Caenorhabditis elegans: one gene and its partner. The protein of the gene in region 2 interacts with the protein of the main gene of each other region in a pairwise test. Each region holds a gene or a part of one and is shown on either strand. Other genes may lie near its edges.

Region 1 (3,971 bases), on a different chromosome or scaffold from region 2:
ATGGTAGTGACAAATTTGTATTTTTTCTGTTTAGGCTACATTTTATTGCTTGCTCTTTCCATGTTTTTCTTGTCTTGCATTTTCATTTCATGCTAATTATCATTTGGTTTCTTCAAGTTTGTTCGGCATAATTTTTGACTGTTTCAAAAATAAAATATTGTTTTGAAATACTCCAGGCGTACGGTAGTACTATACGATTATTAATACCACCAATTTTCCAACGACAGATTGAAAAAAATTGTTTTTTTTTGTTGCAAAATTTTTTTTTTTTGGAGAGTATTTATTCAAAGCGAACAAGATTCAATGGGTGATATATTCATCATTAGTGCCTATGACTTCTTGCCAACGCAACGGAAGCTAAGCAATACCCTCCGCACAGAACTTCTGAGAGGTAAAGTAGAAAGTCGTCCAATCACGTTTCGACGACCTTTCGATCATGAAACTTATGCCTGGCAAGGTGATTTTAGAGAACGGAACAGATAGTAGTTAGTAGGAACCAAGTTTGGCGAATACGGAGGGTGAGGCAAAAATTGGGCAAATACTGTTTTACTACTTGATCTTTTACTACGTATCTCTTTTACTACAACATCTCTTTTACTACGGAATCTCTTTTACTACGAATTCCGCATCTAGATCTTTTACTACAGTTAGCTCTTTTACTACGTGATATCTTTTACTACGATTTGACCACATAGATCTTTTACTACGGAAAATACTTTTTTACTACCTTATCTTTTACTACGTGGATGTTTTACTACGTTTTACTCTTTTGCTACGGACGTATTTTTACTACGTGGAGGGACACTGTTCTAAGCATTTTCAAAAGAAAAAACAACTGCATATAAGCCGTTTATTTGGAAAAAATATCTGATATAAATTAAAATCGCACAAGCAGGGTAGAAAGATATAATGCTTTTTCATTATTTTTGAATGTTGGTCCCAGTTTTTACGAGAGGTCCTTGATAACCATAATGACGTGATCCTTGTCTGGAGCAATCATGATTTCGTTCTTCTTCGTTCGAAGCCTCAGGAATGTTAGATCATTGCTCGAATCGAGTTCACGAATGGAAGTCTTTGTCTTCTCACATAACTGCTGCAGGAATGCGGTGTGAGACTGGGTGGCGTCGCTGTCGATTGTCGAATGAATAACTCGGCCTGAAAAATATCTAGTTTCATGGAAAACAGTTATTGTTTATTGGTCAAAGCTTATGGAAAATTAGTTGTCAAGGTTTGGTGGTAATTCCCATTCGGCTGAGACCACACTAACTTTTCTAAATGTTACTTTCTAGTTTCTAAACTTTTACAATTTCTATTAATTTTGTTTTTTTTTTAATTTTGATTTTACATTTCTAAACAATTTTCAGGATAGAATTATCTAGGAAAACGTACCGGCTGAATCGACAACAATAATTCCAACGACTCCTTTCTCTGACTGTAGACGGCGAATAGTCTCCTCGAAATCAGACATCTGAAATCAAATGGAAATTGATAAGTTTGTAAGATGGAAGAAAAATAAGCACAGAAATGCAATTTTTCACTTGCTGGTCGACTGAGAACTGCCAAAATTTTCTCCATTTTCCACTTGAGGAGATATAAATTCAATTTCCTTTCGTCGGATATTGAAAACTTGGCGACGAGAAAACGAAAAGAAGATATTCAAAAGTTGGGCACAACTTTTGGCATAAAAACAAAATAACACAAAATAAGAAGTGAGCATGTTTTTTATAAATACCACATAGCAATTTCACAAGTTTTCAGTTATAAAAAATTGAGTTCAAAAGAAACGATTAGAGATCTCAAAAGTTAGAAAAAATAATTCCGGAGTGTATGGAACAAGGAGCAGTGACCAATGGAAGGGGAATACATAAATACGGAAAAGTAAGAAGATAGAGAAAGGAAGAAAGATAAGTTGTGACGAAAGAAGGGGCGGATTCTGATTCAATTACTGCCGCTTTGCCTTTTTGGAGGAAGAAGGTGCATACTTGGCAGCCAGTGAATCGAGGAACGACGTGCCACGTTCCTTCTGGCGACCTTGAATCAGGGCGACAAGATCCGAATTGTTCTGGAAATTAAATAATTATGCATATGAATATACTAAAAATGTAACCTAACGGTAAATGATAAAACTTATAAATAAAGTGACAGATTTTACTGCCATGACATACCTGTGTCATGTTCTCAACTTCGATTGCCTCCTTCTCAGCCTTACGCTTGTAAGCCTTCATCTTCTTCTGAAATAAAACATAAATTTTAACATATTTCACCTGCATTACTTACATCTGAAGTGCTCGTTTCATATTTCTTCGTCTTCTCAATTTCTCCATCATCAATAAGTTTATCCAATGCTTCTTTCAACTCTTCGACGCCATCGAATCCGATAGCATATTCTCTGATTTTCGCGATATCTCCATTGAATTTCTCGTAATGCACAACGAGCTCATCCTTCTGTTCACGAGATCCTTGATACGTCTTCATGAAGCTATCGATATCCTCTTTTGTCACCTTTTTGAAAATCATTCTCCATGCTTTCAAGGCATCTTCATTCAGCTCTCCAGCCTCATCGTCCACTGATCCGGTTTCATCGTAAATTTTCCTTTTCTCTTCATCGGAAAGAATTTGATAAGCTTTGTTGAGAAGCTGAAACTTCGTTGTGTACGTCTGCATATCTTCTTCTACAAGATTCGATTTATCCGGATGCCAGCGCATTGATTGGCGGTAGTATCCTTTTTTAACTAAAAAATAAATTTTCGCTAACTTTAAACATTTGTTTCCCAAAAACTTACGAGCTTTCTCATCGCAATCTTTCTTCACGCCAAGAAGCTCGTAGAGACAATCCGTATTGAAGTGAGTTTTGCATTCTTCCAGAAACATAATCAGCTGGCTGAAAAATGGAAGAAATCAATAGAAAACAGTTGCGAAAGAGTGAATACCACTGGGAGAAGAACGTTCAAATAAAATGACTGGAATCGCAAATTTGCTCTAACGAACAAATAAAAAAGCGCCATGTTCAAACACGAGTTTCGGTCAGAATTGAATTTAAAAAATGCAAAATAGACATGAAATTTCTGCAGAAACGCGTTACCTACTAATATTTATATTAATGATAACAGGAGTGGATGAATATAAATTATTTGGAGCGTTGTTTGTTGCCTAATACACGAAGAAATGTATTTAACAGAAATGGATCATGGAAATGACTTTAAATTCAATTTTAAGTCAGGAGTTTTAAGATTGGGGTTAACTATTGCGAAATTTTTTTATTTTACTTTTACAATATTTTTCAATTTATTCTTAATTTCGTGCTGAAGAATAGAAAAAATCGATAAAAAGGAGTTGAAAATTAAATAAGAAAAAAAACAAATTCAAAAAACTCCATGAGACTGTGATTCGTGGTGAGACCTTGTCATCTGAAACTCGTATGCACCTTTAATTAACACCGTAACCAAATTCGCCCGATTGAAACCGAATTTATTTGTTTTTTTTTCTGAATTTTGTTCTAAAAAAATTTGCTGTTTGTTTCCCCTTATTCCAAACATTAAAGTTTCGTAACATTATTTGAAGTAGGCTCATTGTCACTCCACAAACTCGAAAGGCATGAAAGTTACAGAACGAGCAGACTACAATGTAGTCTTTGATGCCTGTTTGCGAGAGAGAGAGAGAGGCAAAATCGAGGCAAAACGAGAACGAGGCCGTGTCCTTTTTCCTAGCAAGACTATTATTCCACATACATTCCCATCTCTAGGCGCCTAGCGCCCTCCTTCCATCTCATAGCTATTTCTCTCCTGAGCTCTCCGAGCCCTCCCAATTTCGGCGCCTTCCTTTCCCCAATTTTCTTGATTTTTCATTATATATTTTTGTTTTAGGTGTCGTGGTGTGCTCGTAAATCAATTTTCTAAAAATGATCCTAGAAGCTGTTGCCGGACTCGCTTCGGCCTTTGTTCTGACCTATCTTGGGTTAGTTTTAATTTTTT
Region 2 (7,965 bases):
TATTTTCATTTGTTCCTTAATAATTTAATTTATTTCTTTTTTCCAGGTTTTCGTCGCACTTGTTTGCGTGAGAAAAGAATTGTGGGGTCGCGGAATTGGTACGACATTGATGAATCATGTGTAAGTAGAAACAGAATCATAAGAATATGAATATAAATTTTTTTACAGCAAGTCTGCAGCTCGAACAGACAGTAGCGATGGATTGATCAGTTTGTGCAGTAATGAGCGAGGACATAAATTGATGAAGACTTATTGCCCAACTGATGTAAGAATTCGAACAGATCCACCAGAGAATTCCAATAAAAATGATAAATATTATTGGGACGAAGACAAAAACTCTACAAAATCATGTGGAAAAGCGTTCTACATCCAATTGAAAATCGTCCGCCCCCTAACCATGGGTCTCGTTAGGCATTTGGTGGCAAAACGATAAATTCAAACGTTTTCAATTAGTTTCGCCAACTTCAAACATTTTTTCTCTTTTTTGGCTATGCTTTAAAATCATTCCGACGTAAAAATCATCAAAAACAAAGGAAAACATGCTTGAAATTGGCGAAATAATTGAAACTGTTTGAATTTACGGTTTTGCCCACAAATACCTGACGAGACCCATTATTCGGAGGCGAAGCGTTTTCAGTTGGCTATGGAGCGCGTTTCGATTTATAAGTGGGCATTTTTCTGCCTCCTTATAATAAATCATATAGTTTTCACATTATTATTATATTTTTCAGTTCGCTGCTGTTCGTTACGATGCTTTCAAAGGAGAACATCTTCGTCCACCAATCGTGATGCGTCCACCAGAAACATTCCATAGTGTATATGCGATGCTCTCGAAGTTTAATTGAGTTGCGGCTCCAACCTATGATCTATGAGTATCACAACGAATCCGTCGCCTTCAAGCTTCTCTCTTAATCAATTTTCTATCGAAATCTGGCACTGTTTTTTTTTGAATATACGCTGAATGTTTTCTTCTCTCCTTCTCTCCCAATCAAAATCCCACTGCATTTGCATTCTTTTGTCAATCAAAACAAAAAACAATCGATTCTTCTTTCTGCGATCATTTTCAATTAAAAACTATTCCCTCGTTGTCCCAATTTCACATTATTATATATTTTGTATGATTACCGCGAAACACTTTTGAGAAATGAATATTCAAAACTGTATTGAGCTCTCACTACTGCTTTTTGATGGAAACAAAATTACAAAAAAAAGGTGATTTTTTCATAAAACTGTTCATTCGCATTGATCGCTATCATCGAAACTTGATAAGAAAAGAAGAAATCAAATAAACCATTTTTAGAGAACAATTGGGAGCTGTGGTGGGGGACTGTATGAAGCATTTAAAAAGAAACAATTGATAAATATCAATTAATAAATTAGAGCAAAAAAGTCGAATCAGTGTGATCGGGGAGAGAAAAAGCTCAGGAAAATAACGGGAATAACTGAAAACGACGTGGAAGAAGAGCTGTCAGGAAAAAAAGTTTTTCAGAGAAAATGAAAAACGAGAAAAAATTGAGTAAATAGCAGATAATCACAAAAAAATTTAGCGGGGATATTTATAAGCAACAAATAATTAAATGAACCGAGAAGAAAGAGGAGCAACGTTTTTAGAGCACACAATTACACACACAAGAAGAGTTGGCACCAGTTGCCACGTTTCAATAAGAAAGCGTGGGAAAATATGCTTTGTAAGGGATTTAAAAAACAAGTACCTATGATTTAAATATGATAAATAGAAAATCTGATTAAAGTTAAGATTGGAAAGAACCGCGCATTCGTCTACATGTTATAATTCTCCGCTTCCTCATTCGATTGCTTCATATCAGATAAAACTCTGAAAATTGCACATTTTTCATGTAGAAAGAGGAACGGGTAGCTGCTTACCTAGCAAATCGATTCCATTCTTCGCTCTTCAACACGTACAAACTTTCCCGAACATCATACATATGTACTCGACCCTCATCATCACCAACGAACACGTGTTTTCCTGAAAAATACGGATTTTAAAATTTTTAGTCCAATACATTCAGTTTCATTGTAGGATTTTGCATTATTAAAAAAAATTGCTTCTTACCATCAGGTGACCAAATCAGTCGATTCATATAAACAGATTCTCCTTCGGCTCCGGCGCGAAGTCTTGCAACTGGTCCTTCAACATCCTCATTCAAATTCCACACGAAAATCTGAAAACGTTAAAATATAATATTGTTGAAATTAAACGATCGATCAAATGAATTTTGCAAAAAGAACAGAGGCGGAGCGTATTTTCGCAATCCTGCGGCACAGTTTTTTTCCTTTTTTTCGTCCGTATTCCACTGCTTTTTTGTTGATTTTTTCAATAAAGTCTCGATTTTACTCGTTTTCAGAATGTAAAGGTTATCCAATTCTGCTCGGCGCTGTTTTTTGCAAAATTTACTGATCGATTTCTATAAATTCAGTCAAAATAAAAATAAATCTCTCACATTTCCATCAGCATCAATAGATGCAAACACAGCTGGATGAACTGGTGACCATGCAACATCCAAAACGAGATCAGGATGTGATTCAAATGAGAATTTTAAATTTGCATCTTTTGTGCTCCATAGCTTCACTGTCCAATCGTGAGATGAAGAAATAAAAAGATGTGAGAAGTCGACAACACCAGAAGCTCTATGAAATTCAATTCCCGTCAGAGTACCACTGTGACCTGAAATTATTTATTTAAAATTTTTATCAAGATAAAATTCACATTTTTGACTGCTCAAAATTTTTTCGATTTTTGGAAAAAAAATACAGTACGCCCTTGTTGCTAACTCCTAGTTTTGGTGGAATTTTTTTTCTTCATTTTTTTTCCTCTTTTCTTGAAAATTTGATGTACTTTTAAATTTTTTGAAAATAATTCAAGAAAAATCGGTCGCTTCGAGACCTAAATCCCAACCTTTGTAACAAACGTCAGTTTTAATGACAGCTGGATCAGCTCCATTCCTTGATGCAGCAAGAATCTCTCCAGTATCTGTTCCAACGACAAATGTTTGCATTTCACCGATTGGGAATGACATTCTGGTGGCGGAAGCCTGGAAATTCGAATTTTTTGTTTCAAAATTATTTAATATCGATAAAAACCATACAGCTTTTCCTTCCTTTGTCATCAGTTCTTTTCCATCCACAGGTTGTGTCAAATTATCGACATTCCAACTGCAAATTCGTCCGTCTCGACTTAATGAAACAAAGTTATGAGCATTTTTGGTACCAACGACAGCAAGACATGATACAGTATACGTGTGAGCTTGAGTTGTTAGAGGACTCTGGAAAAATGAGTTAACATCGGATAGAAATTAAAATAATTTAATCAATTTTCGTAGAACTTTTTTGAAAAAAAAAACTTCAAAATTTTCAAGATACGTAACAGTAACATTACTGTTGTAATTGAAGGATTGATGTGCAAATTTTGAAAAAAAAACAGCGTCGCACAGAAATAGAGGCGGGGCGTAATTTCGCAACAATGCGGCACGGTTTTTCTCCTTATTCTTCGCTCGTTTTCTACTGCCTTTTTTATTTTTCAATTAAGTTTCGATTTTACTTGTTTTTTTGGCATGAAAATGTTGTCCAATTTAATTCTCATACGATTTTGACGATATTTCATGCTAAATAGGTTTTAAAACATGAAATATTTTTATAACTTACGAGAATTTATGTATATGATAATATTTTCATTTAAAAATTAAACTAAAAAGTAAAATCGAGACTTTATTGAAAAGAGCAGTTGAAACGGGGGAAAAAAGAGAAAAAATCGTGCAGCAGGTTTGCGAAATTACGCGCCGCCTCATTTTCTGTGCAACGCTTTTTTGCAACAGGAAACTTTGATTTTTTCTCAGGTTTTTTAAAGTTTAAAATACAAAAAAAACTCACTCTATTTATTGGCAACTTTCGACTTGTCAATCGATTATCCCATACACAAATCTGTCCAGATTCACATCCAGCGAGAAGCAAATGAGCATGGAAACGAGCAAAAGCGACGGATTGAATTTCAGATTGACAATAGACAATGAATTCAGCAGTCATTCGCTTCGACTTTGTATTCCAAACGACAATAACACCGGGTGGCTCATTTGGAATGTCACATGGCTGAAAAAGAAAGGAAATTAATAATCATGTATATAGTTTTAAATGTTAATTACCCCATAAGAAACAGCTAACAAATCAGGATAATGCTCAGAAAATGCCATTCCTGTAACTAATCGTTTAGCAGTCCATGTCTCATCTTGATATACTTGTGCCAAATGAAGTAGATCATCAGATGCAATAGCTTTCTCATATGGATCTTTAGTGTAGTTAATACAAATGTCAATTTCCTCGTTGAGAGCACGACTGATTACTTTGCAAGAGCGATTGAAAGAGTCCTGGAAACAAAACCATAAGCTTCAGTCATGAATTAAAAATTGAATTAACTTTTGGGCAGTTAAACATATTTTTTCACAAAAATGCCAACCTCATATTTTTTAACTCACCAAAAACTCAGGATCAAGAGTCAAACGATATTTCTCTTCATCACTAAGTGGTGGAACAATCTGAACAGTTTGTGTCTTTTTCTCTTCAGTCTCCTGTCGTGTCAGTCCCTTGTCTCCCTGCTTTGTCTGTCCCAGAAGTTTTGCAATTTCTTCGTTGTAAGGAAGTGGGGAATCTTGATCGTGTGAGTGAGCACGACCTGAAACCATGAATTTTAAAATTATGGTGTTCGAGTAAAACTGAAATTCAGGAAAAAAAAACCATGCACAAACCTCTGAACTGACCGTGATCCATTGGCATAATCATATCATCATCATAATCGAATTCTTGGCTTCCTAACGAAAATTCGCCGACTGAAATTCGCTCATCGTCAGTCTGGGTTCCTTTCGAGTAAATTGCCTGGAAAATTTTAATACTAAAATCATTAAAAAAAGCAGGAATTCGAGTTTTTAAAATTAATTCTCGATATTTTCCCTCGAAAAAAATAAAGCTTACCGAATCTTTGTTATCCGTGCACGCTGTCTGTACACTGGAAAATTCCAAGTCGACTGAAAGGAGATTTGAAATGCGTGGATGGCTGGCTGATGGATCCACATGATTATCAGAATGAGAACCAGGAGGTGGTGCCGGAGATTCTTCCCGAACTGTTGGCTCAGTTGAAATACCTACTTGACGGAGAATATCCTCGACCTAAAAAATAATTTAGTTAAAAAGTAGAAATATGATTGTGAAACTTGTAACAGTTTAATTTTCAATTTCTTGACGCGAAATTCTGAAATGTTTGAAAAAATACAGTGTCAGGCCTCTACACGACAAAATTTTGTTAATTTCAAAAAGGTATGCGCCTTTAAAAATTACTGTAGTTTAAAACTCTCTTTGCTGCCGATTTTCAGAAATTTTCATTGGTTTTCTCGCAATTTTTTAAATGGAAAACTTAATTATTTTAAACGAAAAACTATGAAAAATAATAAAAAATTGTCGTGTCGAGACCGGGTACAGTATTTCTAGGCAAAAACTCTAAAAATTTCGAGTCGGGATAATAGAACATAATAATATACCTCATTCGATGAAAGAGTCTGTCGAGACGTTCCATTCTGTGTTGTTCCATTTTCATTTGTGGAACGGAGCAGATTTTGAACTCGAGCATCTTCTTCACGTTTCCGCTGAGATTTCAGCTCTGCCAATTTCTGCTTTTTACGTTCAAGTTCGAGTTTCCTCAGTTCTGACATTCTGAAATAAAATTGTTTTTTCTAAACCTAAAAAATGTAGTTTTGAAAAAAAGGCAATTCAGAGAAGGAAATGTTGTTTCGAAATTCAAAAGCAGATGGTAGAATTAGAGATAGAGAGAAGTTCGAGATATCTACGAAGGACATCATCATCTGTTTTTTTTTGTTTTTTTTTAATGTTAGCGATGAATAATGGAGTGTGACTTCAATTAATTAAAGGCGTTGTATCGTATTTGGAGGATTTTCTTTGCTTAAAAGACCTCAATATACCAAAAAACTGGAAAAATTATAGAATTTTTCTAAATTTTTCAAGATTTTTTATTTAATTTTGCAACAAAAAAGTGGATTTATTTTTGAGTTCCCGAGCAAATGAATCAGCTAGTTTCGACATTTTTTCATTTTAGTTTTTCCTAGGAGGAAATTTCCTTCATGTTTGATATAAAACATCGTTTGCCAAGAAAGCCAAAATAATATAAACAGCCGGAAAACGAAAAAAAAAACAAAATGACCATTTGTGCGAGAATTCAAAAATAATTAAGCCATTATTATTTTTTTATTTCTGCAAACCTGAAAAAATCATTAAAAATTTAGAACAATTCTATAAACTTTTTTAGATTTATAATAGGTGTATTGAGACTGTTTTCTGTCATTTTGGGAAAAAAACCAAAGAAGCTACTCCAGTTTCAAGGGAATTCAGGGATTTAGGCGAAACTGGAACTCTGATAACAAAGAATTTGAAAGAAACAAATGTTGAAATTGTTTTTCCTTCCTTCCTGTTATGTGTGTATGTACTTACTGTTTTCTCTACTATTCTATTCCCTCCACTCATACACATACCTGAAGATATCAGAGACACAAAAAGATAGGAAATATGATAGATTGAATGAAACTTAGGAACACCTAGAGTAGTTAGAGAGAGCTGTAAAAAGAGTATTTACAATAATTTGAGGGATCAACTAGAGAGAGAGAGAGAGCACACTAGAGTGGAGAAGCGCAGATAATGAAACGACAGGGGACAAACTGTGCCGACACCACACAAGCCGATCCGTCGCAAAGGTCGCTAACATTAGAGAGTTAGAGAGGAAAAGAGAAAAGGAGCTGTCGATCTTTGCTGGTAGGACGGACAGCGGCGGGAAACTACGAGAACAGAGGGAGCGGTAGGGCGCAGATTTGATGGAAATTTCAAATTAAAAAAATTGTTATCGTCGAATTAGAATTTCCTCTTGAGTAATTGTATTGATCCTACGTTGCATTTTAGATTCAAACTGAGAATTAGGAATCGTAACCAGTTTTATTTTTTGAATGAGAATATTATTCAATTTTATTCTCGTGAAATTGTGAGAATATTTCATGCTAAATTGTTTGCAAAAACATGAAATATTGAAAAACGAAAAAACATTGAAAAACGCTTGAAAATAGCAATTACACCCGTCTGTCTTCCTGTGCAACCAAGATTTTTTTGAAAAATTTACGGATCGCTCGAATAAAAAATTTTATAATGTCAGATTACGTTTTAGATCCAAAAAAAATTAGGCTGAATCCGTTTTTGATTCTCTAGAATTTTGTTTAGCCAAAAAACATCGCATTGTTCTCTCTGTCGTTATTAAAGTGCGCAATTAACAAATATTCAAAAATTCTTATTTAAAAAACCATAGGGGGTTCCCTAACTATTGCGAAATTCTCTTTCTCTCTCGGACATTACTATGAGAGATTGAACCAATTGAAGAGACGCAGTGCTAGGAAGGGAATGCGCCCTGGCGCCACATATGGTCTAAGTCTCTCTGAATCGTGTGCTCTCTACATTGGGTCGACTCTGCGAGTGCTTTTGAGCGGCGCCGAGACCGAAATAAGAGAGAAAACAGAGGGAAAAAAGATAGGGAACATTAATTGATGAAAAAAGAAACAGATGACGTGGCAATTCTTCTTTCCGGAGTTTTTTTTTATTGGAAGTGGGGTTATTCAAGTAATGTAGCAAAATGTATTTAAATACATTTGTGACGTCACAAATGTATTTAAATACATGTTTTTATATACTTGAATAAGGTTGTGACGTAATTTTTCTACACTTTTTAATTTTCCGACACTACTTGAATAACCCCAAAAGTGTACGGTTTCTTTTTTCAAAACACGATTGCAACCAAAGGCGCCGGATTTTTGAATTTTTCAAAAATCGGAAGATTTAAAATTTTCGCTTTTTTATTTTTATTACTTGATAAAAATTGAATTTTATGGTGAAATTTCAAAATTTGTTTTG

Evidence for each region. Proteins that work in one complex are often made in the same cells at the same time.
Region 1: the proteins of dyci-1 (region 2) and dyrb-1 interact in a two-hybrid assay, tested with the Caenorhabditis elegans proteins (3 studies listed by BioGRID).

The regions. Positions count from the first base shown.
Region 1 is NC_003280.10:9,105,678-9,109,648, forward strand, and holds dyrb-1 (Dynein light chain roadblock), read right to left. Parts: upstream 1,469-3,971; coding exon 1,390-1,468; intron 1,156-1,389; coding exon 947-1,155; 3' UTR 838-946; downstream 1-837. Other genes in the region: dnj-23 (J domain-containing protein), read right to left, coding at 1,943-2,062, 2,166-2,231, 2,278-2,732, 2,784-2,871; T24H10.4 (Transmembrane protein 53), read left to right, coding at 3,899-3,954.
Region 2 is NC_003282.8:6,778,626-6,786,590, forward strand, and holds dyci-1 (WD_REPEATS_REGION domain-containing protein), read right to left. Parts: upstream 5,716-7,965; 5' UTR 5,715-5,715; coding exon 5,544-5,714; intron 5,176-5,543; coding exon 4,981-5,175; intron 4,885-4,980; coding exon 4,758-4,884; intron 4,685-4,757; coding exon 4,488-4,684; intron 4,380-4,487; coding exon 4,158-4,379; intron 4,105-4,157; coding exon 3,889-4,104; intron 3,285-3,888; coding exon 3,108-3,284; intron 3,054-3,107; coding exon 2,918-3,053; intron 2,687-2,917; coding exon 2,463-2,686; intron 2,184-2,462; coding exon 2,075-2,183; intron 1,988-2,074; coding exon 1,885-1,987; intron 1,835-1,884; coding exon 1,780-1,834; 3' UTR 1,220-1,779; downstream 1-1,219. Other genes in the region: anat-1 (N-acetyltransferase domain-containing protein), read left to right, coding at 47-120, 169-265, 732-845.